Linked DNA regions of Tamandua tetradactyla. The protein of the gene in region 1 purifies or fractionates together with the protein of each later gene. This does not show direct contact. Links are inferred from orthologs where the notes say so. Each region holds a gene or a part of one and is shown in the gene's direction. Other genes may lie near its edges.

Region 1 (10,261 bases):
AGAACCATAATAGGGGGCTTCGCTCCACTCTTCAGCTCAGGTAACTCTTAGTAAGAGGCTCCCAAACCACAGAGGTTTGAGACCATACCTAGGCTGGGGGTGAGGGAGAAGCCACTCCCAGGAAAAGAACACCACTCTGAGGTTGTGGCTCAAATCCCTTCATTAGGATACCTGCCCTAACACTGATGTAAGCAAGAGATCAATCAGGTCTGCTCATTCCTGCTCTTCAACAGTTCTCACCTACACTGTGATACACCTGATTTCATCCAACACTTATTTATTAAGGACCTACTATATGCCAGGCATTGCTCTAGGTACCAGGGAGTGAATAAACAAATATCTCTGACTGCACAGAGTAGGGACAGACAACCAGTGTCAGAAGATGATAAGGGCTATGGGGAAAGATGAAACGGGGAAGGGAGGTGGGTAATGCTCAGAGCAGGTGGTGGAGGGAAGGGAAAGGATTTTAAATAGCAGGCCCCATTAAATCAAAGCCCTAGGAGGCTTGACTGAGAAGGGACATTTGAGGAGACTTGGAGGACCACAGGGAGGGAACCATTCAGATATCAGTGGGTAGAACAAGTGGATGAAGAGTAAGAGATGTAGTAAGAAGGTAAACGGGTGAGAATCATATCATGTCATGTAAGTCAACACAAGGACTTTGAAAAAGATGGGGAGTCACACGAAGGGTTGAGCAAAAGAGTAATAAAAACCAACTTCGAGTTTACGGCATCTTTCTGACTGCTACGTTGAAAATAGCCTTGTTGAGAGACAAGGGAGGAAGCAGGAAGATCAGGCAAGAGGCCGATGGTAGCTTAGGTCAGAGTGAAAGTGGTGGAGATTGTAAGAAGCAGTCAGGTTCTGGACATATTTAGAAGGTAAAGTCAACAGGATTTATTGATCAAATGGGATGTGGGTTGTAACAGAGAAGGAGGAGTCATAAATGAATCTAGCCTTTTGGGGGTCTGGGTAATTGGAAAGATCAAATCACCATTAAGATGGGAAAGAGTTTGTGAAGAGCAGGGGAGGTTGAGGAATTGTTTCCAGACATGCTAAACTGAAAAGCCTTTATATTAGATGTGTTGAGTAGGAAGCAGAATGTACAAGGCTTGGAGTTGGAGAGAGTGGGCTGAAACTATAAATGTGGAGTTACTGGCATATATAATCATATGTAATTGTATGTCTAATAAGACAAGATTTATATGTATAACCATGCATAATTTATATGACTGTGTTTATCATTTGTCCTCCTAAACTGTAAGCTCCATGTAGTCAAGGACCATGTCTGTTCACAGCCAGCTTGGTGTCTCTGGCATTCAGTAAATATTTACTCAGCAAATGGAGAAGTTGCCCGATTAATCCCTCAAGAATAGCTACCATGGCCCACACACGAGAAGACTTCCTTGCAATCACAGTGCCAAGCCCAACCAGTCCAAAACAGAGCTCAGGGACTGTCCACCCCCAAGCTTGGGATTCCAGAATGTAAGTGGATATGCCTGGCACATCAGAGAGTCAGATATTTGGGTTTCAGCCCTGCCACACACTCAAAGGGTGGAGCTGGGCAAGAGACTTGCTGTTTTACCACCTCTATTTCTCCCCTAGCTGGTTGGCTGAAGGGCTGTTTCACCCAGTTCATGGGCAGAGATAGTGATCTACCCAGGGTATGTGTATGAGGTGGTAGAGACACTCCCTCCCACCCCCCCACCCCACCAAAAGGAGTAACTCCCCAAGTATTCTCTAAGGCATGCAAGGGCCACCTAATCCTTCCACCTAATACAAGACTCCATAATCACTGGGCGTTGTAACTCTGCTTCTCCTGTCAAATAATTAAGAAGACAAAACTAAGGCCAAAGGGTGACTGTAAAAGTCATAAGATTCCAACTCAATCCATTCTAGTTTTGGACAGCTGCCTTTGTGAAGGTGAAAAAATGATCTTATAAAACCCCCTCCCTTTCCAAGATATTGAAAGTGATCCAGAGAGATTTGATGACTTCCCAGGGTCCCTCAGCAACAAGCTGAAGACTGGAACGTAAGTTCTATCTCCCTTTTGAGGGTTTCTTCCCATTTACTAGTGGTAAAGGAAAGGTCAGAGTCATAAGTGTTAACTAGAGGAGTTTTAGACAATCTAGAATTAAACTTCAACTTAAAATTATGTCCTTCTCAAAGGGTAAGTTGCAGATGTTACAAAAATGCCAGGTGCATACTGTGACGTTAAGGATTTCTTCTTTATACCCAAACTTCTGTCACCTTAGAGTGCCCCCTTTGATTTGGACTTTATGAATAAAGCTATTCATAGTAAGATCCACATAAGTGAAATAATAATATACCAACAGATTTTAAAATGCAGATAAATACTTCAGTAAAATATTTACATGAAAAATACAGATGTAGGATGAAGTCAGGTTTAGCTTTCTAAATTCAACAATTATTGAGGGCTTTCTCTGTACAAGTTATTGTGCTAAATGCTATGTATACGTATGTGTATGTGTGTATATGACTATTTGAGTAAGTGACTGAGAAAGAGGAACAGAGACACACCAGAATAAGACAGAATTCAGGTTTCAAGGCTTGCAGTGTAGTTGCTGGTATAAGAATGTAAACATTAAAAACCTGACCAACAACTTAAAACCTAAAATTGTGGAACTGTAACCCATACCAAACTCTGAAATCTGTTCTACAACTAATTGTTGTGATGTACTTTGAAATTTATTGCTTTGTTTTTACATATATGCTATTTTTTTTTATAAAAAAAGAGAAGGAAGAGAAAAATAAGGAAGATAGGATTTAACAAATGAATATGACTGGTGAATCAATATATTGATATTTCTTTTGGTCTTCAGTGTCTTGGAGCAACTAGAAGAAAAAATGAAAAAAATACCAAACTTTAAAATCTTTTCTATAACTACTTGTTAAAATGCACTGGTAAATTTATTGCTTTTCTTTGTATATATGTTATTTTTCACAGCTAAAAAAGAAACCCACATAACCAGTAATATGGAGTAGATTATTATACAGTAAGTAGCATAGATAATGTATCTGCAGGAGTTCTTAGAAGAAGCAATCTCTTCCACTGGATGTGGGAGGAGATTTGTTAGGGAAGGTGCTTCAAGAAAGATAAGGGATTTGGGGTAGACCATGAAGGGGAGAACGACTCTTGATAAGATGAGGTGGGGAAATGAAACAAGTACAAGCTGGTGACCTTAATGTTAAGGAAGAGAAAGAAATCAGGTCCCAAAAGGAAGGACTGGGTCAGACATATCCTTAAAAGTTTAGATTATTGTAAACAATAGGGAGATGCAGAAAGATTTTTCAACATAAAATTAATTACAGGGTTTGGAATAGGTCAATTTAACAAACTACTTTTGGGGGAACTTCTAGGTATAGACACTCTGCTTCGGATGAGTGAGTGAAGATGAACTTGCCTTTGGTGGGTAACTGACTTCAGACTGGGAGAGAAGCAGGACTCGAGGTGACAGGACCTTGCAGTAGAGTGGGAAGGGGCAGGTTTGTAACTCACATGAAAGGAAGAGTCAGCAGTGACTAGCTGGCTAGGAGACAAAGACAGTCAGTGGGGGAGTTTTTCAAGGTATAATTACGTAGCTCAGAGAATGTAAGGGTAAGGAAGGGAAACAGATTAAGGGGGAAGAGATACAGAGCTTGGCTCTAGTGGTGCTGAATCTGAGGATATCTAGATCAGTGTCCAGCAGCCATTTAGAGATGTGGGTATGGGGTTCAAGAGACAGGTAACAGCTGAATATATAGCACAGGGGGAAAGCAATTATGGAACCAAATACGATTTCTCTGGGAGGGAGTATAAAGAGAGAAAAAACAATGTGAAACTTAACCATGAGTGTACCCACCTAGGAGATGCTTGGTAGGTAGGAGTAATCAAAGAGGAAAACCAAAATAATGCTAAGAAGGGAAGGGAGAAGAAAGTTTCAAGGAGGGGAGGCTGTCAGCAGTGAAAAATACAATGAAATCAATTATTAGGACTGATTAAATAAATAATAAATTGAAAGCACATAAATAATAAATTGAAAGAATGAATGAAAGTCCCTTGGGTTTGAGAATTAACTTTGCTCAGAAGAATGATTAGGGATGCCTTCCTATAAGAAGATTCCGATCTTAAGTTTTACCTTATCCTTCCTATAAAAACACATTTCTTCCTTCCATATGTCATCCGGTCCACTACATAGACATCCTTCCCTTCTTCCTCAGGTCCACCCCCCCTTCACTCCATTCTCCTTCCCAGGTTCCACAACACAGTAACACACCTACGGGTCAAAGAGAGGCAGGAAACTGCAACTAGAGTTTCCACTTCATTAACAACTTCAGGCCAGTGATTCCTCTTACAGAAAGGGATATGTAGCAATTGGGCCCAATTTGTATTAGCTGTGTGGCTTTGGGCAAGTTGCTCAATCTCTCTGGATTTGTGTTTTTGGATAGGGAGGAGGAAGTAGGTCTATCTGGAATCTAGACAAATTTCTAAGTCTACTATTTTATCATTCTCAGAAGATCCTTGCAACATCCTCAGAGAAGGAAGTGAGTGTCCGGGGCAAAGCGCCAGGATAGGAGGAGGGGTGTACCGAGAAAGTGAGAAGGCGCTACCCGGCCCTCCCGAATCGCGAAGAGATCCCCATACCAAAGGCTGGGAAGAATCCCAACAAACCCGAGGGAGAAATTCTCACCCCCACCTCACTCCACCTTTCCTAGATTCCCAGACGGCCGGGAGACTCTAAAAACCCTGCAGGAAAAATAAAGATTTCCTTCCCAGAGCCCTGCGCTGCTTTTGCAAGTCGGATTCGGGCAGCACGATATGCAGCCCGATAATAACAGTCTTTGGAAGGATCGACTGAGCTCGTCTCGCTCGCTCCGAGTTCTGGGGACGCCTGGCTGCCCGCGCCGTGCCCCAACCGGCCGGCGTCAGACCCCGGCCCGGGCTGCCAGGCCAGCGGCGCCCTCGCCCGGGGTCCTCCCCCCTCCGTCCGCCCCGCTGCGGTCTGCAAACATTTCCTGCCCCCACCCCCACCAGGAGCTTCCCAGTTGGAGCGAGTCGGTCTCGCAGCCGGGTCAGCGCTCGCAGTTGCCCCAACTCAGCTCCCCCGGCCATCCAGGACTGGGGAGGAGGCCCCCGTCCCGCTCCCGAGCAGCCATCGGGGGATTCCCAAGCGCCAGGCGCCGGGAGTGGTCTCTCGGGAAGTCCAGGGCTCCAGTAAGAAGGGGGGACAACTGGCAAGGTGCCCGTTGCTCTGCTCCCTTCCCTGTCATTACCTGCTCGTTTGCGGGGGTGTCCCGGGGCGGCCGGCCTCTCCCGGCGCTGTCTCCCCACGCAGTTGCCCATGCTGGCTCCTCAGCCGGGCCCCATCCACCGGAGGCGGGGGGGTGGGTGGACGGCTGCTCCGCGCTCCTGCCCCGGACCGCGGCGTCCCAGGTCAACGGCTCCTGCCGCCCGGCATCGGGCGCACCCCGATTTCCCCCCCGGGGGTGCACTCTGACCCAGCGCCGGCTTCGCCACAAACTTTGCGGGCGAAGGTAGAGGAGGGGGACGACTCCCCAGCACAGTCCACCAGGTGGCCGGGCCAGGGGGGCCCACGACGGTGCCCGGCGGGAGACCAGCTCCGCTGTAGAGGCGGAGAGAGGGGGCGGGCACCGCCGCAGCTACTCGGAGCTCGCTCGGGGCTCCCAGCTGGGGCCGGCCCCCCGGAGCCTGTCACTCACCTGTCTAACCCCGCCCCAGCCCGGCCCCGCTCCTTTCCGCCTGCTCGCAGTGCCCGCACCGCCACCGCCCGCCCCAGGTGCGCATGTGACCGACGGCACCGCCTCCTTGGGCCGGGCCTGATTTTTTCATTGGCTTCCCGCAGGGTGCATACCGCCCCTCGGCCCCACCCAGCCAGGTGCCCGCCCAGTCGCCCGTCTCCACGGGAACCGGGCCGGGAATTATGCGCCCTCAATGGCCCCCGCTGCGTGCCCAGCACCCGTCGCACTCCCCGCGCCAGCGCCCCTACTTCAGGCCCCGCCCCTCGGGGAGGGGCCGCCCCACCCTCCCTGGAACTGCCAGGCGAGGAGCCGGCGGGCACGTGATCCGCGGAGCGCTCCGCCCCCTAAGTCTTCGCCAAGCGATTGGCTCATGAAGCACATGCGCGGAGAGTCTTGTTTCGTGCCACCACCTACTTCCCCTCCTACGGTCACTAGTTCGTGTCATGGCCGCCGCCACCGCTTTGGAGGCAGTGGCGCCTACGGGCGCCCTGTGGGACCTCGTGCACGACTTTGTCGTGGGTCAGCAGGAGGGGTCTGCTGACCAGGTGGCTGCAGGTATGGCAGACGGCGCCGCGCGGCTTCCGCATGGGGTCCAAGAGGAGGGAGCGGCCTCCACACAGGGGGTCGGGCGGGAAGAGTGAGGGATAGAGGTGACTGTGAGAGACTGTCCCCAGGAGCACCGGGTGCTTAAGAGCCGTACCAAAATTGAAAGTTATTTGCATCTTCCTTAAAGCGCTTTTACACTCCTCGTCTTCCGTAACCATCTTCTGTGCAGGAGAGGCGGGGTTAGGATAATCATTACCATTTTACAGATGAGGAAACTGAGTTACAGCGAGAAGAGACTTGCGGAGTGTCACAGATCAGGCAGGTCGGGGAGCTGGAACTCGGCATCGGATGCTCTCACGGGGAAACCACGTTGTATCTAGGAGGTAGACGTGAGAAAATGCAGCTTCAGCGGCATCAGCACCAGTCGCGTGGAATCTTGGGAGCGGCGGGGCGGCGCCGGCCACCGACTGGCTGTAATTGGAGGGAGAGGAGGGAAGGCGTTCTAGGCACAGTTTGAGATGTTCAGTGTCCTCCCTCTGTTTCTTCGTAAAGTTCTTGATTAATTTGCTTCTCAAGTTTTTCATGTGCAGTGTGGTTTTATCTTTTCTTACATTTCCAGTACCTGCTTATGACCAGTTCAGCAATCTCTTGGTTCTGACAGCTTCCTAAGATTTGAATCAAATAATATTAGGTGTCTTTGGAATTTTAATACTGTGCTTTTGTAGAAGAAAATTTATCTACCAAAGCGTTACTGAATGTTAGGAGGCCTTCAGACCTCAGGCATAAGTCACAGAATACAAAATAATATTGTAGGTATCCGTAAGTTTGTATTTTAAAGGTATTTTTTGGAAATTTTGCATGTCTGGGGAGAAGTAAAGAACATTGCTTCTCTTGAAAACTGAGATACTAACTTTTAGAATACGTGAGAAATGAATAAATTGCGTCTGCTAAAAATGTAATGCTTTGGTTCTTAGCAGTATTCTGCTTTCATTCATTCGTTCCACCGTTACTGAACACGTTATTCTTCAAATGATGCAAAGCAATAGGAATATAGCTATAAATCAGTTCAGATTGGTGCCCTTCAGAAACTTATACTGCGGTGGGAGAGACAACTACGAACACAGTCGACCATAAAAAGGGTTCTAGGAGGTGTATTCAGATGCTATGGAAGCATCAGAGAACAAATGCCCCCTTCTGCCATTCCACGAAGCTTGACTTCTTACAATAAATTTAGTGAGTTATCAGTGTTGACAGTGTTAACGAGTACAATATGTGCCAGTGTCATTTTTCCAAGTGTTTTATTGTGAATTTTTTCAAACATAAGCAAAGTCTAAAGAATTTTATAAGGAGCCCACATACACTCATCACCTAGATCCTGCTATTAACTCTTTTTTGCCATTAACATTTTAATATACTTGATTGATCACTTATCCATCCATTTAAGTTGCAGATATCCATACGCTTACCCCTAAATACTTAAGCCTGCATATCATTAGAGTTCAGTATTTGTTTACAGTTTCTTTCTCTTTAGGTGAAACATTTATATCCAATTAAGAACACATACCTTAAGTGAACATTCGTTGCTTTAAAAAATGCAATCCAAACCCTTGTCAACATAAAACATTATACCAGTGTCATTTAAAATTTTTCTTTCACATTTATATATTATGAAACAATACTTTTGGATTTTTCAGGTTCAAAATATACTGAGACTACAATCTGATAAGAGACTGCCAAGTTTTACGTGTTTATAAATTTTTTTTTGTTATTGTCTGAAAAAAATGACCTAAACTATTGTCTACTTTAAAACAAGCTCAGCCCAGCCAAAACTCAGTAACTACTAAGCCTGTTGTACTTTTGGTCTCCTGACTAAATGAAGAAGGTTGGTACGAGGAGAAGTAACAGATAAAGTTGAAATGTTTGGTGTTTGATGGGATTGAATTATGCATAACATTGGATCCCAATCAGAGGTATTTAAATGACCTGTTGTAGGAATAGCGGTTGTAGATCCTTGAGCAAAGAAGCCGTATAAAGAAGATAAGTTTAGAGGTTTAAATTGGTATTCTCAATCTTAGATCACTGCCCTTTTTAGGGTTATTGAAGGCTGACAGTTTTGAAGCATCCTCAGAATAAGATGTGCTTTCTAATCCTCCAGCCTGTCAGGCTTTGTTAGTGCTTCCTTTTTAGCCACTCATAGCAGCAGAGTTTCCTACAATAGTAAAAGCAAAAGAAACATCCCCTCCTCACAAAGGCAGCTACTACCAATTTTGTCTTTGTCAAGAACCTGGTGGGTTCTTGGTAAAAATAGGAGTCAGTAATGCATTTCCTAGTATAACTTATGTGGACAGCTTAATTGAGTACATGGAACCTTGAGTAGAGCATGAGATTTTGTAGGTTTGTCCAGAGTGATGCCTCAATAAATCCCAGAAGGATTTGAACAGTGAATCAAAAAGTATTTGCAGAGTCCCCTTGGGGGAATGGTAAGAAAGGGGGAAAGTTCAGCTTCCCCAATTGGAGAATTCTTGATATTCTCACAAGCAGTGGGGACAACCAAAGCAATAGGCTGAGCCCCCAATCTTAGGGTTTATTCATATGAACTTAACCCTGCAAAGGATAGGCTAAACCTACTTAAAATTAGGCCTAAGAGTCACCCCAAGAGAACCCCTTTTGTTGCTCAGATGTGGCCTCTCTCTCTCTCAGCCAACAGGAGAAGCAAACTCACTGCCCTCCCCCTCTCTATGTGGGACGGACTCCCAGGGGTGTGGACCTTCCTGGCAACGTGGGACAGAAATCCTAGAATGAGCTGGGACTCAGTATCAAGGGATTGGGAAAACCTTCTCGATCGAAAGGGGGAGGACAGAAATGAGACAAAATAAAGTGTCAATGGCTGAGAGATTCCAAACAGACTTGAGAGGTTATCCTGGAAGTTATTCTTACGCATTAAGTAGGTATCACCTTTTTAGTTAATGCATAACAGAGGTTGGAGGGAACTGCCTGAAAATGTAGAGCTGTATTCCAGTAGCCTTGTTTCTTGAAGATGATTGTATAATGGTATAGCTTTCGCAGTGTGATTGTGTGATTGTGAAAATCTTGTGTCTGATGCTTTTATCTATGTTATGGACAGATGAGTAAAACATATGGATTAAAAATAAGTAGATGATGGGGAACAAATATTAAAATAAATTTAGTAGATTGAAATGCTGGTGATTGGGGAGGGGTAAGGGGTATGGTATGTATGACTTTTTTTCTGTTTTCTTTTTATTTCTTTTTCTGAATTGATGCAAATGTTCTAAGAAATGATCGTGATGATGAATATACAACTATGTTCATATTGTATGTTGATTGGTTTTATTAATAAAAATTTAAAAAAAAATAGGAGTCAGATGGCAAAAAGGTACAAGTGATGGAAGCGATATGACTTGGCAGCCTAAGAGTTAAAGGTCTCAGAGACTGTACTGCAGGTCCTCAGCCTTTGTTCTCACCTTCCCCTTCTGGACCTTTTAGTTGCTGTCACCCACCATTACTTTTCTTAAGCGTTTTCCTTCCCAGTTCCCTCCACTAGCTCCATCTAATTAAAGTTAGACCCAGCTTGATTGCCCTCCACCACCAATAGATGCTAAAGCGTTTCCTGATTACCCCAGTCAGACACCATGGCACCCTTCAGAATTTGTGTTGTACTTGTTTCTTAACCTCTTGTATACTTATTAGAAGACCTGTTTAGTATCTATTTCTGTACACAGCTCCATATCCTAACTTCCCATTCTTACCACCAGAGACTGCTATAAGTAGGTACAAAATAAAAAGTACTTAAGTGAATGGAATGAGAGATGTTGAAGGAAGAATCAGTGGGGCTTGAGGTATACAGCTTGAAGGAGAGGGAGGACTCCGAGATGACTCCTTGTTTTCAAGCCTGAGGATGCCAAGTGCTCTGTCCAAAAAATTGGGGGGTGGGGAGGGC
Region 2 (10,148 bases), on another chromosome or scaffold:
AAGCAATTGCTAGAATCTCTTACTTTTAACACATAACAATGTATTTTAAAGTTCAGACAAAGCATTTGGCCACTATAACTTCTGTTCAGTCTTTTGTTAAATTTAAGGAGTCTACAAGATACACAAAACCATTCCTGGTAATTATTTGCAGTGAGATCTTCAAAGAAGTAAAAAGTGACAAGGAAATAGAAAAATACTATAGGAGTTAAAAAAAAATTAAACGCTAATCTTTTTTAATGCCATATATTTTAATTATTATTATTATTATTATTTTTTTTTTTTTTTTTTTTTTAAAGGAAAGACAGAGAGAAGGAAGGAAGGATAGAAGGAAGGAAGGAAGGAAGAAAGGGAAACATTTTTAAACATTTTCTTGTTTTATTGTATTTTGTTTTTCCGTTTTTTGTTACATGGGCTGGGGCCGGGAATCGAACCGAGGTCCTCCGGCATAGCAGGCAAGCACTTTGCCCGCTGAGCCACCGCGGCCCGCCCTATTATTATTTTTTAACATGGGCAGGCACTGGGAGTCAAACCCAGGTCTCCAGCATGGCAGCCGAGAACTCTGCCATTCAGCCACGATGGCCTGCCCAAAATGCAATATATTTTAGACAGTAGAAATCAAAGCATTCTCTTTAGAATTCTCTTGTATTTCTTGAAAGTACTTTAAAATTTAGATTTCTATAATCTGGGGACTTTAAAGAAAAAAGGAAGTACTGCAGAGTGATGAAGTTTTGGTAATGGATGGTGGTGATCGCAACACAGCGTTGTGAATATAATACCTGAAGTATACACATAAAAAAAGGCTAAAATCAGAAATTTTGTGTTTTATACATCCCTATAATGAAAGTTTTCTAAAAAGATGATGGCCAACAAAAAAAGAAATAAAGGAAGCCCACAGAACCAAGGCCCAGTGGAGTTCATTCCCAAGGTCAGGCATCACCTCCAGCTAATTCACTGCATGTACTGGGCCACCCAGAAATGCCTGCACATGATCTGACACACAGGTATGAAGAAGGGAGTTGGGAACCACAGTGCCTTCCTCATTTATTTCTTAAACTCAACTCCTTTCAAATCCTCATTCTAATAGGGCAAAGGATGCTATTCAGATTTATTTGGTAACAAACTTTTGTTTTCAGAAATCTCTAAATCCGCATCTTGGTTTCAAAAATAAACTGCCGTTTTTAGCATGACACTTTTATTTAAACAGAGCTGTTGTAAAGCCATTTAGCTTCTTTACAGCCAGACAAATGCTTGATACTGTTTCTTAATCCTTTGTAGTTGGAAAATACTGCATTTAGGGGTAAACAGCTTTTTTTGGACTATATGCTGATAATGTGAGTAAGCTATTGAGGCCCTGATTTTATTTGGGTGGGTATATTTACACATTTATATGCAGTTATCTAGAATGTTGAAAAACTCATAAGAAGTCTAAGTTCTCTATGCCATGTCAGATGCCAGAAAATACTCCTAACTATACAACATTTATAGAGGTGGATTTTTTTAAGAAGTGATAACTCTTTTCTCCAGGATATTTCACACATTTTATTATTTATCTAATAATTGTATGAGTCATTTTGCCTTTTCATCTTGAAAAATACTCTAAAAATTCTGACAAATACATTTTTATCCGTTATGGAGTATGTGTGCCACCTGGCTATTACCAACTCCCAATATTGAAAAGAACTCTTCCAGTAAATTTGATGCTTTCAGACTCTGATTATTTTAATAACAGAATTGTAAACTTGGATTCCCAAAATATCAAGAAATCCTAAAATCATCTATTCCAAGAATAACATAAAAAGATAGCTAATTCTGTGAGGTGGAAGCTATTTTGTGCTTTTTTCCCCCATAACATTTAGAAAGTAGAAAAACAAATAAAAAACTGGGCTGTTTATTAATAACAGACTTCTACAATAAAAAATTTATGGATGTGTTTTCATTGGATACTACTTAAATATGACAAACTACTTTTCAAGGAAAAAAAATACCAATCAAAGCCTCTTGGCATAGCTAACCAGAGTTTGATCTATATGCAATTAATATGAAACTTAACAGGATCAAATGCCTATAACAAAATTTAAGCCCCCACCTTTTGGGCAATAAAATAAATGAAATCAATATAAGGGCATTTTAGAAGGGTTTAAGGTCATATTCTGAATGAAACGGAAACCTTTCTAACTCAGAAAGCAAAATAGTATCTTTCATCAGCTACTTTATTCTATCATGTCTAAATAAAAGCAGTCAAGATATTTCAATAGTTGCTTATTTTCAGAACTAATATAAGCGACTTACCATGAAAAGTCTATACCTAATAAGTTGTTTTCTTATGTTGCACTGTATATGTGAAGACTATCCCTATCCTTTGCAACATCTCTGAAGAACACAGAAGCAAAAAATGGGTTACAGAAGCCTAAGAAGTCATGGAGCGTTGAAAGCCTTTTCTCTGGCTTCTCACTAGCCACTTACAATTCATTACAGAAGGACAGAGTGTTTTGGGAAAAAGAATCATCTTTTTTTTTTTTTTAAATGGGCAGGCACCGGAATCGAACCCGAGTCCTCTGGCATCGCAGGCAAAATAGAATCATCTTGACTAGGGGCTTCTTGTCAAACGCCATCAGACACACAACTGTTAATCAGACCATTAGCTTAAAGCTCTTGGTAAAGATGAAAAAAACCCAAAACTTTAATTTTCCTATTGGAAACTTATTTTGTTGTGGTAGTACTCAAACAGTTCTGCCCACAGTTCACTGTACCCTGAACTTAAGATACCAACTGGTATGTGGCCAATCAGTAATCAGGCCGAACTGCATTCTTCTTAAGTTTATTTGGTTGATAAACAACACTTAACCAATGATTCTTTTATATAACCTTTAACATGAACTCATAAGTCACAATGATTATGCCTCAAAACACAAAGGACAGATGGTAATTCAGATGGGCACCTCTGAAAAAGTTTGTCAGTTGCCTAGCCTGATTTTTCGGAAAATCTTAGGGAAAGACTGACATTCCCCACCAATCAGTGACTGCATGTGAGTCTTTACAACGTTAAGTGGAAAAAACAAGAATCCCAACATAGCACCCAATAGCCTTTCACAGATAAAATCATTGACCAAATGAGCACTATGAGTAGTTGCAGTAGGTAAATAGTCCTTAATAAGACCTTGAAGGCCAAAAAAATGACTATGCTGAATCCATTACAGAAAAGATTGGGCACCCAAATTTGATAATACTCTCCAATTTCATGGGATTTCTGTGACCTGAAAGTTTAATACATGTTTATAAGTTTGTCATGATGCTTGTAGTCTTGAAGCAATGTTTGAACTCTTTCAAATGGAGTGAAAATTGCTTCTGTTGTCCCTGCAAGTACGGCTGCCATGCTATGCTCTGAGTTACAAACTTTGGAGTCATGGGGTACTAACATATTTACAGAGAAAAAAAGTAATATCCTCATACAGACCAAACACATAGGCCAGTGCAGTTGTCTTCTGCATTAGTGGGGGAAGGATTCCATAATGCAAGTTTTGGAATCCATCCCTCCTCAACTGAAGTATTGCATTCTGGGTTTTGATTCCATATAGTCGTTGCTGAAAGTGGACCTTTTGAATAGGAAAAGTGTTGAAAGCTGCATAGCACCCACATAAGTAATGATTCATTTCACAAACATTTGTACTATGAGGTGATATATCTTGAAGATACTATGATTGGTGGCCTCTTTTCATGGGCTTCTGAATCCATCATGTTGCTTAAGAACTTTCTTCTTAAAGAAAGATTTTTTTAAAATCTGTTACACCATCAGGCGTGATGGTATCTTTTTGATAACTCTCCCAATTCCATCCATTGTTAATGTCCTTTAGGTTCTCTCGTCTGTAGACAATTGTGGTAACTGAACTTCCCATAGTTGCACACATCCTGACCCATGCCCGGTAGCTGCCAGCACAGGACCCCGTTGGGTCCTTTTGATCTAAATTGAAGTTTTCTATTTGGAAAAAGATGTGTGGGAAAACCAACGTTGTCTCATCATAAATGGCAAGAACTACCTTTCCTTAGGGTCTGACCACTCAGGGACAAAATGACTAGCGACAAGTAAATATAATAAACTTAAAGTGCAACAAGAATTTTTTTTGGCCTAGGAGTTTGGGGCAAAGCCATCACAGCATCAAAATCTATTTCAAAAAAGGAAAAAAAAAGCCACAATCCAGACAGAAAGATTCGGAAAGAAGGTTCAACTAGTAACAAAAGAGAAGTAAGACTTGGTTTCAAGGGTCACACTAACTTTTCATAAGATCATTTTGCAAAATAGTTTTTAATTATTACTTACAAATGTGATTTCCCCGTTCTTCTCCAACGCCTGGCCACCTCTCGTGCTAATTACCCCTTCTCTATTCTGCTACTTTTCCCCTATACCGAAGGCAGTGCTGAGTGGCGCCGTCTCCACCGTGCATGAGCCACGTGTCCTCCCGCCCCGCGCACCCACCAAGATGCCGGACCCTGGTCCCGGATGGCTGCTGTGGGGCCCGCGGGGCCCACGCACATCTGCACAGAGCCGGAGAATTGAAAGCTGGCATCCGGGAAAGCGCTGGGGGCAGGGAGGGGGTGGCGGGACCTAGCAGTCCCCGCTGGACCTCAACGCCTGTTGCTTACCGTCAGCTGTCGCCATTATTCTGAGTGGGCTGCGGGGAGCAACTGCACTAGAAACAGAGCCAGGAACCTGATTTAAAAAAAAAAAAAAAAAAAGGAGAGATCAGCAAGGGTAAGGGAAAGGAGGCGCAGCCCCCACGCGTGTTTCCCCGCCACGTATCAAGGCGCGCCCACAAGTGCTCACTTAGAACACAGGAGCGGCAGTCAAACCCAGAGGGTATCCGTAGACGGAGGTGCAGTTCAACTTCGGGAGAAACCGCTACCCAGGAGGCTACCCGCAGCGCAGGCGCAGGGACGCGACTCCGCCTCCAGACTGCCCCCGGCGCAGCGCGCGTGCTGTTCCAGGAAACAGATAAAGTGGCGCGCGCTTGCAGCCCCGCCCCACCCCACAAAGCTCGCTCACTGGGACCCCTTCTTGGTGTACCAGAAAGGATCATAGGTTGGAGCATACCAAGTGGTAACGGCTAGGGAAAAGCATCTGAAAAAGGATATACAAGGTTTACATCTTCTGGTAGAGAAATTACGAAATCTCCGCTGTCCTCATCAGCCATATTATGGATCATGGAAAATAACAAAGATTTTCACATGCAGAAAATGTATCTTCTTTAACATCTCCTGCGGAGGACTGACTCCACCCCACAGAATCTATGACTCCACCTCTGGGCCCGGGAGCCTCCCCCTGCGCCTCCGCTCATTGGTCGACCTGGAGGGGCGGGACGGGGGAGGCGGGAGGACGCGCTAGTCTTCGCCGCAGTAGCTAGGGTCTAGTCTCTGGGAAGGAAGCCGCTGTCGTGATCGTTTGGTACGCACCGGCCGAGGGGACTGCTGGTTGGCGCTTGAACCTGGGCCTGGACGGCAGGTCCTTCCACGTGCTTTTCGCGGCGACATGGAGCTGGAGGAGTTGGGGATTCGAGAGGAATGTGGCGTATTTGGCTGCATCGCCTCAGGAGAGTGGCCCTCGCAGCTAGATGTGCCGCATGTGATTGTCTTGGGACTTGTGGGTCTGCAGCACAGGTAAGCAACAGCGTGGGAGATGGAGGCTGAACGGATGCGGAGTGGGGATGGCGGCATGTGTGCTTTCTACATCTACTCAAGCCTCTTCCCGCGGCCTGACTTGGCGACCTCGCACGCGCCTCGGGGTGGGGAGACTGGTACATGCCTTTAGCATCCTCTGAGTTACCAGGAGCTCTCGAAGGCTACGTTGCCACCCTGGCAGCTTGCCCTGCTCCCCACCTCTAATGCTATTTAGGGGTTCGGGCCTCCCCGCCCTCCTTTTGTGCACCTCTCAGTTTGTAATGCTTCTGTCTGCTTGGGCTAGCAGGGACCATGTACTTCCCAGCAATTTGCGGGTTCTTATCTCCCAGCGTCTGGAGCTACTTCTGCCTTAGGCTTGTATGGAGTGATGGCAGATGCAGATTCTACAACACTTTTTAGATAGTGAAAAAGTTAGTAGTTAGAAGATGCCTAAAAATTAGCTCCCGTCTATAAAAAGGGGGGGAGGAGTCCTTTTGTATGTTGACTTTGAAAAATCAGGCGACCCCTTTGTGTTCAAAAAAATAATTTTGCTTCCCATTATCTTTCCATTTCTTATTACCTGACCTAACTGGAAGTTGATATAAACAATTCCGATTAATTATTGCAGTGAAAAATATAGCCCTAGGTTTGACATAAAAGTATTAAAAAGTTTCTCTAAGACAATACAGTAGCAACTTCTAGAACGTTGAAGAACTGAAAATACTTATCAGCATTACAAATGATTAGCTTTCCCTTACCAAACTTAAAAGTAGTCTTGTTGCTGTTTTCAGAGTTCTAAATACTTGAATTTGAGTTTTGCATTTTGAGTATTTTTTACTAAGAGCTGAGAATAATTCAGAAACTTTTAAAACTCAATTAACTCTAATCTTGGATAATTGAGTTGACCATAATAGAAATCTTGATCCATTTATGTGGTAGTCAAGAGTAACTAGTAAGCAATTTAAATAGTTTATAACATTCTTAAGAAAAGTTATTCTGGATTCTGCCATGAGGGGCAGGGGTGGTGTACAAAAGAAAGTGATGTGTAGAGTTGCCTGGTTTGGAAAATATATGAACTGACCTTTTAACTCTTTTCTCAACTATATTTGCTTTTTTAAAAAAATTACTCAGAAAGTTCTTTTCATTCCCAATAATTTCTCCCATTTAAATCTGTACCTGTAGAAAAAGGAGCTAGTTTTCTTTTTTTTTAGTTAGCTGTTGCCACTAATTGGAATTCTATACTCAGCTTAGGAAAATCCTTGGTTTGTAGGTTATAATGGGTTTTAAAATTGAGGTTAGATAATACAAGATAAGAGCAATAATGATGTGATTATCTGGCAGTAGAGCAATACTGAAAGGATTCTCTTAAGCTGCTCATGGTTGAGAAACTGGCATTGTAAATTCATCCTGTGGTATCTCAACAACAGTGCCCAAAAAAACTATTAGCTTTTTAAGATTTCCATTATGCAGTCCTGGAATCATTAAGCTACACATAGAGAACTGGTTCTTCCCACAAATCAAAAACAATTCATGATTTTGGATGAAGAGGGAAACTCCCTCATGTGTATAAGATAAAATCTGCTGTTCTAAACAGCAGGGGCCACAAAGAGATTAAGAACTAAGTCTTTATATGACATTGAATCAAAATTGGAAGCCTGCATAGGTTATCATTTCTTAATTTACTGTAGAATTATATACATTTTACATTTTAACAGGTGGTGTTTTGTTGCAGAAAAGCCTATTTCACCCCCATTAGCTTAATGGTTAGTCTTAAAACAAGGTATGATTGTTTTTGTTATGAAGGAATTAGCCTGTTAATGCATTATCTTCCTAAAACATGGAAATGAGAAGGAGGGAATTTCTATCACTTTTGCATTGTATTTGTGTCTTTGTCTTATGCATGATCCAATAGAAAAAAAAATATCAGTCTCAGGGAAAACGATACCTGAAAGTTGTAATATTAAATGTTTCATATAAAATACAAAAGGGTGATAATTACACGACATGTGCTACAATACTTAATCCAGATGGGTTCAGCCAGAACTATTGCTTTTTAGTAGCTTTCCGACTATTTATAGATTTGACAGCTCTACTTTCTGTCACTAGAAATTTTAGCTTTACATTTTCAGGTTAAACTAACTAGTTGTTCTCTTATCTGCTTCTAGCTGTGTGTGTGTGTGGGGGGGGGGGGGGCGGCATACCACATTCATATAATCACCAACTGCTAATTTTTGGCCCTGAAAACATCAGCTCAGTGTTTTGCAGAGTTTTGAACATGAACAAACTGGACACCTCCTGTAGATCAGACAGTTTCATCATTAAGCCACAGCCACTTTGTATGGAGACTAGAATGACCTAGTTTGACTAGGTTTGAAGATTCCATAAAAAGAATTACAAAATCTTTCAGATTTATCCTATCAATCACCTAGTTTTCCTTGGTTAGAAGATAAGAATACCGGTCCTATTAGTGAATGGATCTCTTCTCTGTATTAGGAATTGAACCCTGCAACTGATGACCATTTTCATATGTCTTCTAGGTTAAAATTGGCTATTTACCTCATACAGTTGGGTCGTGTACTGGGTTTCCTGTCTGCAGAAACTTCCAGTAGAATCTTTTGGTTCTGTTACGACTTGAGGAAACTGATTTGCAATGATCTCAGGAGCAATTTTCTTACGAGACACAGACACTGATTCTGCAAAAAGAGTACATGAAATCGTCACTAGAGAAACACCTGTGAGAAAGAGACAGAAAGATGCACTCAGATAAAAAAAAAACCTCTGTGGGATTAGTTTCCAGTTATTTTCATTCATTTAGTGTTTTAGAGAACATGGGAGTGGGTTCTCAGAAAACTTGCTTTTGGGGTGTCAAATTAAGGCTGAGGATATCTTCCTTTTTAATAACTGCCCATGATAATTGTTCCAATTGTTGATTTTTAGAGTTTTAATTCAGTTTGTTTTGTAATCTTTGTCAGTGATTTGGGTGGTGATTACATGAGTGTGCTCACTTTATGAAATTTTGTTGAATGCTTCACTTTGTGTTTACTAATATCTAAAAAATGCTAAAATTTGATTATCCTGGAGATACAGAGGGGAACTGATTCTCAATCTAGTTCTTTTTTCTTCTATACTGCTGAGTAACATTTCCTTACCTCTTCTGTGGTGTGATGATACATAAATTTAGAGTTATAGCTCACATAATTATGTTGACTTTGGGGTTTAGTTTATCTGTAAACTTAGTAAAATATTGTACTCATTACTAACTTAGAGAAAACCAAAATTCAGTGCTTATTAGTTTATGGGATTTTCCCTTTTATATCCCAAACTTCTGAAGGTGTGCTGGTTTGAAAAGGTTTATGTACCCTAAAAAAACCATGTTTTAATCCTAATCAGCCTTGTGGGAGCAACCGTTTCTTCTAATCCCTATTCAGTACCATATACCTGAAACTTTAATTAGATTATCTCCCTGGAGATGTGACTCAATCAAGAATGGTTATTAAACTGGATTAGGTGGAGATGTGTCTCTACCCATTCTGGGTGGGTCTTGATTAGTTTACTGGAATCCTATAAAAGAGGAAACTTTTTGGAGAAAAGGAGAGTCTGAGAGAGCAGAGAATGACATAGCAACAGGAAGCAGAGAGTCCACCAGCCAGCGACCAAATAAAATGAAGAAGGAAAATGCCTCCCGGGATGTTTCATGAAAGGAAGCCAGTAGAGAAAAAGCCATTCCATTTCTGGTATACTGCATTCCAGCAGCTAGCAAACTAGAACAGATGGCAATTACTATAAAATGTAATTTAAAGGCTCATGATAAATGCATAGTTGTGCAGAAATTTATTTCTGACTCAGAAAGTTTCCATTAACTATCACTTTCATTCTTAATAAGCTATAAGATAAACCATTTCTCAGGATTGTATGCTTTCACACAGTTCATAAGCAATATATCTAGTCTCATTTGTCAAGGACAAGAGTAAGCATCTCTTATCAGTAAAAGATACAGAAGTTTTTCTCAATGTGGCAAAACTTGGCATTTCTCAGGCTCTTACCATCTTCATGTGCTTTTCTCTTGATTCTCAAAGTACCTGGGTTTTTGGTATGATCTTCAAATAATTCTTAAAACAAACATAGGAAAAGAACCATTATACGACATCATTTGAAATATATTAGTTCAAGTATACTCAAGTGAGAACATTTAAACAATTGGACTGATAAAGAATGAGTTGGACAGTAACATTGTAATATGCTTCCAATGAATGTAACAAAAGCATTATGCCAAAACTAAATGTCAACAGGCAGGGGGATTTGAAAAGGAGTGTGGATTCTTTGCGGAAGAAAAGGAAACGTCTTCAGATAGAGTATGGTGGCAAAGGCATGTCTGTACACTTCGGCTGGATTGTATGATGTGTGAATAAAACTATTTAAAAATGAACAGCTAGAGAAAATGTGTAGAAAGTGATGTGCCTATTCACACTTGATGGGGAAATGCCCCTTGGAGGACAGTG
Region 3 (11,088 bases), on another chromosome or scaffold:
CCTGTGCTCAAGGAGGCCGGGAGAGCCGGTCATCCCTCAAGCCACTTGCCCACTATGGGCACGAAGTCCCAAACCCACCTTGTAAAGTCAGATGTGGTGGTCACAGCTCCGTCAAAAGGCACAGCCTCCTGGGGAGCACAGGGCCCCTGGGAATTGTAGGCACAAGCCCAGCTCCCCCAGGGCAGGTCTTTCTCTGTCCAGCTCCACCATGGACTCAGCTACTTCAAACCCCAGCTACTCCCAGGGCCCAGCTACTCCTAGGGCCTAGCAGCTCCCTCAGTCCAGCTACTTTTCAGGCCTTTCTATGACTTAGACCCACGGGTGGCTATTCCTGGATCCAGCTACTCTTGCATCCAGCTACACATTGGGCTCTGCTACTCCCTGGGCCCAGCTACTCTGAACCCAGCCATACCCCTCAGACCCAGCTGCACCTATGCAAGTGGGTATTTTGGAAACTGGAGTGCACAGCTAGTTATATATCCCCATGTGGCTGCGTGGGCACCTGCTTGCATGTGGACGTGCTGACATCCCCCATCGCCATGCACAGCTGGGACCCCCTCCCAGGCCTGGGAAGCCCCCCACCATGCCCTTGGGGGGACCCTTACCTGTCCTGTCTCTTCAGCCGGGGCTGCCAGAGACAATGCCCACCCTGCAGGGGGAGGGGGTGTGAGTCCCAAGGAAGGGCCAGGGGCTTCCAGGGGCAGCTGCCCTGGTAGGGAGGATGGGGCTAGGCCTGGTCTCCCGCCCTGTGTACACCCCGCAGGGAACAGAAGTAAAGAGTTAAAGTCCCTGAGTCCCTGAAGTCACAAACCGCCCCCCCCCGCCTCCATGTCCTTTCCTGTGACTCAGCTGCTCAGGGGGGCAGACAACTGCCCCACAGACATCCCCACTTGGTCTGAGCCCGTCACTGCCCAACCCAGCCACCTGCCCGTGCTGGGGGAAGCCGTGGTGGGAACGGGGAGGCTGGGGTCTCCCCAAGTCCTGCAGCACAGCACCCACAACTCACCGAGGCTGAGAAGGAGGAGGAGAAGGCTGCAGGGGGCGGGGGTCGTGTGGGGCCCCGGGGCAAGTCGTGCAGTCTGGAGGGCCATGGCCTGTGGAGGTCGGCGACCCTGAAGACCCTGCCCCCGGCAGGGTGAGATTCGCCCCCACACCCCCGCGCCTCCCCAGGCCGGCCCGGGGTCTTGGGGGGCCGCAGAGGTCCCAGGGCCCCCAGGGGGACACAGGTGCTACCTGGGCAGGCGCGTGGACAGAGTCTGAGCAGCTCGAGCCTCCCCGGCCCCGCCCGCCCTTTCCAGGAAGCTGCAGCCCGGCCGGGGTTAAGACCTGACTCACCGCGGCCCCCAGCTGCGAGGCCCTGCCGCACGGCCCCACCCACCCTGTCACCCGATTCAACCCGAGGAGGGCGACCTCCCGCGCGGGCTGCCTCGGTTTCCCTGCCTGCATCAGGGGCGCTGAGGCTACACGGTCCCCTCTCTACCCCCCACAGGCGCTTCCTTCGAACCCAGAATCCCGCCAGGCAGGCAGTGCCCGGGGCGGGGTGGGGGCCACTGCCCTGGGGCCCCCCTCGGGGGAGGGGCTGGGGGCATCTTCCACCTGTGAGCCCTGGGCAACCTCAGACATGGGGGACAGTGGCCAGACCCAGCAGCCACCTTGGGGAACCTCACGTGCTCTCTGGGGTGAGGGCTACCTGCAGGGAGGGCAAGGGGTGGGCACCTGAGCCTGGGGAAGCAGAGGCACCCCGGCCTGCACCCCGGCCTACCTGTCCCCTCCCCGGGCTTGGGAGGGGGGTGTTTTCACTCCCCAGTGGCCTCTTCAGTCGAGAGGTCTGGGCCGGTGCCACCCACATGGCTTGGGCACAGGGCAGCCCCTGGGGACGGCACCTGCACCCCAGGCCCCGAGTGCAGAGAAGCTGACCTCCAGGCCAGAACCCAGGGGGACCTGGGACCACCGTCCCCAGCCCCTCGAGACCCAGGGACCCTGTGCCCAGCTCCTGATACCTAGCAGCGGCCACCAAAGACTCCCAGGGGGCCAGATAAGGGTGCCCCCAAGCCACCCGGCTCCCACACCTGCCCCGCAGAGACCGGGGCGCATGGTGGGCCCTGGAATCTGCATTCCCGGAGCCCAGGCTGGCGAGCAGCCTCTGGCAGCCCCATCCTGGCTTTGCGGGTGAAGTGGGACCGGAACCCCCCGGCCACGCTCAGCCCCCACGAGCCACCCGGAGCCGGGACAGGGCGACCCCGGGATCCTCCCACCCCACCGCCCGGGCACAGCTGCCCCTTTGCTCCCTAGTTGGGCCTGGGGTCCAGGAGGAGCCTGCTGGAGCAGGTGCCGGCTGCTTCCGGGCAGGGTCCTCTCCTCGCCCCCAGCCCCGGGCCCTGGGAGGGCAGGCTGGGCCAAGTGACCAACTCAGGCTGCAGGAATGCGCGGGGTGAACCCAGTGCCGAGAGAGGCCGTCCCCTGATGTGGGTGGGAGCCAGGTGGGGGACAACCCCGGGGCCGCCACCCACAAACAGACCAAGGCCCCTTGGGGCACTGTGGGGTCACAGCCAGGGCCCCCGTCCCCCGTGGCTCGGCGGGTAGAGCAGACCCTGGGGAAACGGGGCGTCACCCCACAAGGCTCAGGTCACCAAGTTGGGGTGCGCGGGGGCTGCCGTGGCCCCGGGCAGGGCGAACGTCCCACTGCTTGGACCCCAGGGTCTCTGGTAGCTCCACCTTCCCTTTCTGGGGCTCAGGCCAGAGGAAGCGGTGTTGGGGGGGGCTGGGGGGCATGGAAGGGACATGGGGAGGACCTCAGGTCACCTTGCTCCTTGGGCCCTGTGCCCCAGGGGGCAGGAGAGCGGACGGGACCCCAGACCCCCCGGGGTCCCAAGGCTCTGCCCCAGCGCCCCTTGTCAGTCCGGTGGGCTGAGTACGGAACGGGGGTGAGAAGGCAGCTCAGGGCCTCCTGGACTGTGTACACGGGTCGAGGGGGTACTGGGGGCCCCCGGACAACCTGCTTGTACCCCAAGATCTATAGGTCCTGCCCTCGACAGCATGCGAGGGGCCCAGGCTGGGTGCTGCTCTGCCCCCGGGGCCCTGTGCGCCCCCCCGACACGTGCGGCCGCTGCAGCCCCATGACGGCCCTTTGGTGCCCCCTTTGGCTTGCCTGGCTGGGGACGGAGGGGGGACCCCGACAGCCATCGCTCCTCACCCCTGCACCGGGTGACCGCAGGCCTCATTAGTGGCTAATTGCACCCGAGCAGCCTCTGGGGTGCCCGGAGATTACACCTGTTGACAAGATGGGGTGCCCCTGGGGAGTGGCTGCTAATGATGTGCTGACGGCCGTGCCTCCCCCACGAAGGCCACTCGGGGAGGGCAGCGCCTCCTGCCCAGGTGCCGGCACCCCACGCGCCTGCCCATCTGCACCCCGCATGCGGACTCCCCGGTGGCCCTGCCGGGAGCACGCAGACCCCCTCGGCACAACACAGAGCCCGTCTCAGACGTCAGGGGGCTGCAGGGGTGGATGGATCTGTCTCCCTGGGGGAGTGACCCCATTTGGGAAAAGGGTCTTTGCAGCTGCACGGAAGGCTCTTGAGATGCCTGGCGGGGCCCTAAATCTAACAGGAGGTCCTCGGGAGAAAGGAGAGGACAGGGGCCCGGCCTTACGGGGACGTGGAGCCCGTGAGGGGGCAGACAGCCGGGGACAGGGAGGGACAGGGACACTGGCCAGAACAGGGTCGGGAGAGGACAGAAGAGGACCTGGCCACACAGGTGTCAGAACTCCACGCGTCCCCACGCTCGGGGCTGCCGTTTCGTGGCTGCTTTGTCAGCACAGCTCCACAAAGCCCCCACGAGGGCCGGGCAGCCCGCTCTGGACCAGCGTGGGTCCCAGGGCATGTGTAGCAGGGGCCCGAGGGCGCTGGCGGCGGCTCAGGGAAAGTGGCCCCGCACAGTCCCCACCCCCTCGCAGCTCTGGCCCCAAGCCCAGCACCCGGGAAGCAGGCGGTAAATATTCACTAATGATGATGATGAAACAATTTGCAAAATACGAATGTGAAGTAGCCAAGAGCCTGGGCTCTCCAGGGAAGGGGCTGCATAGGTGGAAGGCCTGGGGCTGCGTGTGTGTGCGTGTGTGCATGTGCGAGCAGGTGTGTGCATGTGTGAGCACTGTGTATGCGCGTGTGTGCATATGCGAGCAGGTGTGTGCCTGTGCGAGCACGTGTGTGTGTGCACGTGTGCCTGTGCAACCGTGTGTGTGTGTGGGCATGCATGTGTGTATGTGTGGGCAGAAACGGCCCGGTCGGATTTTCTGAACCAAAGATGGGCCCCGATGTTGCTGGCCGCCTTCGGGGTGGCGGGGCTGCCGCTGGCCACTGCTGGCCGCTGCCTGGCTGGGGGTGTGGAGCTGCAGGGGCGTGGCGGCCCGGCTCACTCACCCTGCGTTTGCTTTTACAGACTCGGTTTCTGGGGAAAAGAGTGATGGGCGCCACCCTGCTCCTCCTGCCCCAGGCTCCCCCCACCCCTGGCTCCGTGGGAACCTGCCCCCCACACACACCAGGTGGGCCCGTCCTGGGGTGCCCCACCTCATCTTTGGTCCCTGGCCCAGCCAACCAGACCCCCACCCACCCCCAATCCCACACACGCTTTTTTGTAAACTCACTCCATAGCATTTCAACGAGACAAAGTCTCTGTCTGCGTCCGTGTGTCCCTAATAGTCATGGCACAGTTCAGATTCAGGTGCCACACTGCACACCTTGGCCAGGTAGCGCCCCTGAAGGTGGGGGGGCTTGGCGGTCTCCCGGCCCTGAGGAGCTGGTGCGGCGGTGGCAGGCCCAGGCCCGACTGGACAGGGTTCTGGGGCCCGGGAGAGGGGCAGGACGGGGTCCCAAGCATGGAGGGCGGGCCCGCTGCCCCAGCAGAAACGGGGCCCTGACCTGCGGTTTGGGCACAGGTGCCGGGAGCAGAAGCAGCCCGGGTGGTGACGACACATGTTTCACCATGTGGTCCGAGTGATGGCGTGCCGCTTAGCCAAAACGTGGCCGGAGTTCTGATGCACGCTGCACGTGGACAAATCTTGACTCAAATCCATTTGCAGGGCCAGACATAACAGAATAAATTTGCTTTCTCTCCCAGGAAATATTTAGAGTAAGCAAATTCCTAGAGACAGAAAGCAGGAGCGGGGCCACGGGGCAGGGACTGCCCATGGAAGGTGCCCTGATAAATCCCACTGACGGACCCCTCCCTCCATCCCCCCAAACACTGGTCTGTTAGCCGCAGCGCGTGGCAGTGGACGCGGGATGCGGCATGATGGGGCGTGGATGCTTGAAAGTGGTTAAGATAGGAAGCTTTGTGTTGTGCACATGTTACCACAACACAAACTTTAAGAAGCAAAGGCTCAAGCAGGTGGGAACCTGGGAATGGATTTACTGTGTTGGAACAAAGAGCCCACGGCCTGTTTCACTCAGCCGATAGAGAACAGGCCGGTGTTTGGGGGGATGGCGGGAGGCGTCCGTCAGTGGGATTTATCAGGGCACGAGGAAGGCAGAAGTCCTGTCTGGGGTTATAAAACCTCACAGGGAAGGAGTTGTGAGGGTAGCTCAGTGGTAGGATTCTTGCCTGCTATGCGGGAGACCAGGGTCCCATTCCTAGTCCATGCACTCCCCAAACACAAATGAGCAAACGAACGAAAAAAGTCAACACATGGTGCTGCAGGAACAGGATTCTCACGTGGCATGTGACCCCGCCATACAGCATACAGGAAAAGGAAATCTCACAGGGAAATCGAGCTGGCTCCCACCGCCCGGAAAATAACAGAAGGAGAGCTTGGCGCTCCGGGAGGGACCCCCGCGACCATCAGGGACCCCATAGCCGGGGCGCTGCAGGGAGCCCGGGATGCAAGCCCTTGCTCCTGGGCCCCGCGCTGTTCACGCGCCCTGAACCGCTCTCATCACACACGGGGGCCCACTCGGTGTCCGGCGCTGCTGCGGCTTCCGGGGCTGCATGGACAGCAGGCAGAAGGGACGCTGTCCCCAGCTCCCACACCTGGGGACCTGGCACCTGGCCAGCAGGTAAAGGCCGGGCGAGCGAACGAGGTGGGGAAGCCCGAGCCTCGCTGTGAAGGCGGAGGCTCCCGGCCCGGCGCTGCCCTCTCCGCCCCACTGCCCGGACCACGCGTCCCGGGGCGCGCCAGGGTCCGGTTCCGCGAGCAGAGTCGCCGCACTCGGCCCGCCAGCAGAGGGCGCACACCGCTCCGGGCGCCCGTCGGCGGGGGCGAGGCACGCATGCGCCAGGTGGGGCGCTTTCCGGCAGCGTGGCGGAACCACCTCGTCTTTTCGCGCCGTTTGGCGACACTCTCGCGAGGCACCTGGCGGCAGTGTGGCCGCCATGGCGTCTCTCTTTAGTGGGGCGCTGCAGCTGACGGACCTGGACGACTTCATCGCGCCGTCTCAGGTGGGCCGGGGCGGGCCGGGCGAGGGTGAGAGTCCCGAACCCTCCGCCCCACCGTATGCCCCTGGGAAACCCAGCGACCCTGCCCTCGGGGCCTGCAGGGACCCTCGCTCGGGCCTCGGCGCCCTGGCCCTCTTCTTACGACAGGGAACTCAAGGCCAAAAGGACATTTTCCCACCACCGTGACTGTGTCCAGGGCGTCCAGGACGGCCGGTTTGGGGTCTGGCCTGTGGTGGGTGGTGAGGACAGGACAGGGCCTGTCACCACGCTGGCTTCGGGCCGGCCGGGAAGTGCCGCCGCAGGGAGTAGCACCCAGCTGGGGGGCGCGGGCCGGGGTGGGGTGGGGACCCTGAATCCCTTAGTCAGTGTGCTCACAGGTACACAGGCACTGCGGCCACCCTCCTGTTGGGGGACGGGCGGGAGCACCGTGGTCGTGCAGCAAAGGTCACGGTGTGACCCAAAGAGGACCAGGGGCCCCAGGAGGACGGGAGCTGGTGCGACCTTATCTGAGTGTGTCTGCCTGTGACACCAGCAGCTGGGAGGGGCTTGGGGGAGGGTGCAGCTGGTGGGCAGGGGTGACCCGGACAGGCCGCCTGCCTGGGCTCTCTGGAGCTGGTCACCTTGGGGGAGGTAGTGGCTGGCACAGTTCTCACATAAAAATGAGGGAGCCAGAACTCAGAGGGAGGGACAGAAGAGTAAACTTTGCGTCAAGGCCCTCCAAAGGTTTTCAGGCCAGAAGTCCCTGTTGAACCCTTGACTTCCTCCCAGCAGCCAGGTGACCCCATCTCCTGTTTGTGCTTGGAAAGGGCAAAGGTCAGGGCCGGTGGTTTGTTTCTGGATGGAGTTGCTTTGTAGGTGCAGTTAGCACTGGCCTTCCTGACAGCCAGTGACCCATGGGTGACTTTTGGGAACAGCAGGATGCTAGAAAAGCGTGCCCAGCATGAGACTCGGGCAGGTGGCTGACACTCACAACTGTGTGGCAGGGCAGGGCCCTCATCTGTGGGGTGGTGGGACAGCCGGCCGTGTGGTGACCTGGGGAAGGCTCCGCCCTCTTCCCTGGGCCCCTCAGCTCATAGACCCCTGGTTTGGGTCTCTTCTGATTAGGAATGCATCAAGCCTGTGAAGGTGGACAAGCGGGCAGGAAGCGGTGTGGCCAAGATTCACATCGATGATGATGGCAGTTACTTCCAAATTAATCAAGTAAGAAACATGGGCTTCACCCTGTTTCCAGCCCAAGTGACCGGAAATGTGATTTTCTCTACCTCACCCAGTCACAGGGGCAGTGACTGTGGGTATTTCCCCAGCTTGCTGGTCCTTTCTCACTGTCAGATTTACTAAGCGGTGGGGACAACGGGGCTGCGAGGATGTGGGACAGAAGCTGGGGGTGGAGGCGGAGCACAGAGCACAGGGGACACCCAGGCTGAGCAAGGTGCTGCGGCGGGAACTCCTGGCCAGGGGGTGGCTCCTGGCTTCCTCCATCTCTCTGAGTTCTAGTTGCATAAAAATTTCCAGTTCAGACTGTGGTTCTCACAGAACACCTACTCTCTCTATAATCAAGGAATGACAAACTCAAACCCTGACTGTTTGGATTTTGGGGGATACCTGTGGCAACCCTGGGACCGCAGGAGCTGGGTGTGCTGCGGTATTCGGCCCAGCCGAGGACCAGGGCCCTGGTCGAGGGGCCCTCCCCGGGGGGGTGGGGGGCTGTGGAGATGGAGGGGTCTCCAGTAAAGAACGGCAGCAAACGCCCACACCTATAGGGAGAGAGACGGCTGTTTCCTTGGTGCAGGAGGGTGACCTGCCGCACAGGGGCGCCTGCCCCACCCTGGGCCAGTCTGGGGGACCAAGTCCCATTGATGTAAGAGACAGCTCATGAGGGGTCCCCGTGAACAAAGTGGAAGGGCCAGGGGAGGAGCTGCTGGGCCCTGCTATCCACACAGCTTGTTCCTGGGTTGGGGACCCAGACATGGAGGGAGCGTGGAGAGGCCCACTCAGCGCAGCTGCCCCGCGTGGGCCTTGGGGCCCTCAGCAAGTGCGACTTGAGGTTGCGGCTTTGCCGCAAGGGGCTGACCAGGCTGAGGACCTGGCTGGGGGCCTCCGTGGGTTTGCACACAGCCCTGCAGCCTGCCGGGTCCCGGCTCCAACCATTCCTGGACCTGCACAGGGCCCTGGCTGGGATCGTTTCGTGTCTTTTGTTCCCTTGGCACCATTGCCCCTCCATAAGCTGGCAGAGTCCCACTCGCCAAGTCTGCCAGTGCCCAGGGTTCCCTTGCACACCGCTGCCCCTCTGCCGAGGCTCCCGCCCACCGTCTCTCTTTCACCCCTTGCCCCGTCTTCCTCCCTTTTGGAGCCTTGTCCCTCAGCCCCAGGGGTGTGCTACCTGGGCACAGTGGCCCGTACAGGATCCCATGGGCAAGGTGGCCCTTCCTGCCAGTGGGGCCTCAGTGGGCAGCGAGCCTTATTCCACGTGATGTGACATGCTCGCTGAGCCTGTGCCGCATTATGATTTAATAACTGGAAATCTAGAACATGCGTACATGGTTCTGTTACAAACATTTAATTTTCAAAAATTCCACGGTACGTAGAGCCAGCCAGCACCCACACTGTCAGTAGCATTATAGGCAAGAGAATAAAGATTTCCTGTGGACTCGTGTCCCTGAGCAAAGGAGTTTCCTGGACTGGGTTCTCGCCCCTTGGCAGGACGGAGGGACCCAGAAGCTGGAGAAGGCAAAGATCTCTCTGAATGACTGCCTGGCATGTAGCGGCTGCGTCACCTCGGCCGAGAGCATCCTGATCACACAGCAGAGCCACGAAGAGCTACGGAAAGTTCTAGAGACTAATAAGGTAAGTGGCAAATGGTCTGAGACTCTGCTTTCACGTGACCCTGCCCTGCTCGCCATGGCTGCTTTGTCAGGGACGCAGGCCCCGCATTTCTGGGTGTCCGGCACACGGGGCCTTATGGGGGACTCGCAGCGGGCTGTCTGTCGGCGCTCTGTGGGGGTTTCAGCACAATAACGATGACGAGCCTCGAGGGCGCCACGCGTACCCTCTACGGTGCGTCTTCTCCCGGGGTGCGAGTGGATGTATCCCCTTGCCTTCCAGGCAGCCCCTGCCCAGCACAAACTGGTGGTGGTTTCTGTCTCACCGCAGTCCAGAGCGTCCTTGGCGGCGAGATTTCAGCTGAATCCAACAGACACGGCAGAGAAATTAACTGCATTCTTTAAGAAAATAGGTAGGCTGGAGCCCGGCTGTGTGCAACTTGTGCTGGGGCGGCCAGGCCTGGCGTGGTGGGGGCTCCTCCGGCCCCTGCGCCACTGACGGGTGCTCAGCTCTGAGTGTAGACTCCAGAGCTCTTCAGCCTGGCTTTCACCTCAGCTGGGAGTCTCTGTTTCACAAGCAGAGCCCTGCAGGAGAGACAGGGCTGGACCCGCCCTCTCCCTGTGCTTCTTCAGCTGTCGTCAGGGCACACGACCAGCTGGGCACTGAGTTGACATGATTGCATTTGCCGGTGTCTCGGGCACTGTGCAGGGTGTGGCCAGCTGCCAGGTAGACCAGGAGCCCACATAAAGGAGGGGAGTCCCTGGTAGGCCCAGCAGCACTGGGCTCAGTACCTGCAGGGGCCCCATAACCTAGGCATCCTGGGCTGCTCTCAGGGCAGGCCAGCACCCCTCTGCCGGCAGCCACCCTCCACTTGGCAGCCCCTCTACTTGGCAGCCCCCTCCACCCGCCAGCCCTCTCCACCCGCCAGCCCCTCCACCCGCCAGCCCCCTCCACCCGCCAGCCCCCTCCACCCGCCAGCCCTTCCACCCGCCAGCCCCCTCCACCCGCCAGCCCTTCTACCCGCCAGCCCCCTCCACCCGCCAGCCCTTCCACCCGCCAGCCCCCTCCACCCGCCAGCCCTTCTACCCGCCAGCCCTTCTACCCGCCAGCCCCCTCCACCCGCCAGCCCCCTCCACCCGCCAGCCCCCTTCACCCGCCAGCCCCTCCACCCGCCAGCCCCTCCACCCGCCAGCCCCCTCCACCCGCCAGCCCTTCCACCCGCCAGCCCCCTCCACCCGCCAGCCCTTCCACCCGCCAGCCCCCTCCACCCGCCAGCCCCCTCCACCTACCAGCCCCCCTCCACCCGGCAGCCCCCCCCGCCTGGCAGCCCCCCCCCACTTGGCAGCCCCCCTCCTGGTAGCCCCTCTGGCACCTCCTCTCAGGGCTGGCACAGAGCCCGAGGCACTAGTGATGTGGACTCTGGGTTGGGGTGCCTTGTGTCCTGGTTGCCCTTCATGGGTCAAGTTAGATGCCACTTCCCAGGGGTGCACTACGTGTTTGATACCACCTTCTCGAGGAACTTCAGCCTCATCGAAAGCCAGCGGGAGTTCGTGCAGCGGTTCCGAAGACAGGCTGACTCTGCACAGGCCCTGCCCGTGTTGGCCTCCGCCTGCCCAGGTGTGCTCACAGCCGTGGGGCTCTTTGGAATTATACGATACTAGAGTTAAAGTGAAGTTGAAGTTTGAAATGACATCAACAGATCAGAACAGGTGGAGGGGTGACAGGTGATGGGGTGAGGGTTCCTGTCAGCATCCGGGCACCACGTGGTCCCTCCGGGAGAGGAGCTGCTGGGAGCCGAGGCTCAGCTGTCACTCACTTCAGTCCTGCGCTGAAACCACG

What was found. The genes of interacting proteins can lie anywhere in the genome.
Region 2: the proteins of MMS19 (region 1) and PPAT purify together in Homo sapiens (affinity purification with mass spectrometry; 3 studies listed by BioGRID and IntAct, with this or other methods). This does not show direct contact. The link is inferred for Tamandua tetradactyla from reciprocal best matches to the Homo sapiens genes MMS19 and PPAT.
Region 3: the proteins of MMS19 (region 1) and CIAO3 purify together in Homo sapiens (affinity purification with mass spectrometry; 3 studies listed by BioGRID and IntAct, with this or other methods). This does not show direct contact. The link is inferred for Tamandua tetradactyla from reciprocal best matches to the Homo sapiens genes MMS19 and CIAO3.

What each region holds. Positions count from the first base shown.
Region 1 is NC_135339.1:58,805,877-58,816,137, reverse strand, and holds the start of MMS19 (MMS19 nucleotide excision repair protein homolog), read left to right. Parts: upstream 1-5,996; 5' UTR 5,997-6,200; coding exon 6,201-6,312; intron 6,313-9,003; exon of another isoform or gene 9,004-9,165; coding exon of another isoform or gene 9,166-9,247; intron 9,248-10,261. UniProt on the Homo sapiens protein: Key component of the cytosolic iron-sulfur protein assembly (CIA) complex, a multiprotein complex that mediates the incorporation of iron-sulfur cluster into apoproteins specifically involved in DNA metabolism and genomic integrity.
Region 2 is NC_135345.1:56,939,906-56,950,053, reverse strand, and holds the start of PPAT (amidophosphoribosyltransferase), read left to right. Parts: upstream 1-5,398; 5' UTR 5,399-5,521; coding exon 5,522-5,649; intron 5,650-8,205; coding exon of another isoform or gene 8,206-8,342; intron 8,343-9,692; coding exon of another isoform or gene 9,693-9,758; intron 9,759-10,148. Other genes in the region: PAICS (bifunctional phosphoribosylaminoimidazole carboxylase/phosphoribosylaminoimidazole succinocarboxamide synthetase), read right to left, coding at 4,639-4,705, 8,206-8,342, 9,693-9,758. UniProt on the Homo sapiens protein: Catalyzes the formation of phosphoribosylamine from phosphoribosylpyrophosphate (PRPP) and glutamine.
Region 3 is NC_135349.1:56,646,104-56,657,191, forward strand, and holds the start of CIAO3 (cytosolic iron-sulfur assembly component 3), read left to right. Parts: upstream 1-6,338; 5' UTR 6,339-6,366; coding exon 6,367-6,432; intron 6,433-7,533; coding exon 7,534-7,629; intron 7,630-9,129; coding exon 9,130-9,273; intron 9,274-9,531; coding exon 9,532-9,661; intron 9,662-10,731; coding exon 10,732-10,866; intron 10,867-11,088. Other genes in the region: mesothelin-like, read right to left, coding at 79-146, 606-649, 1,007-1,091.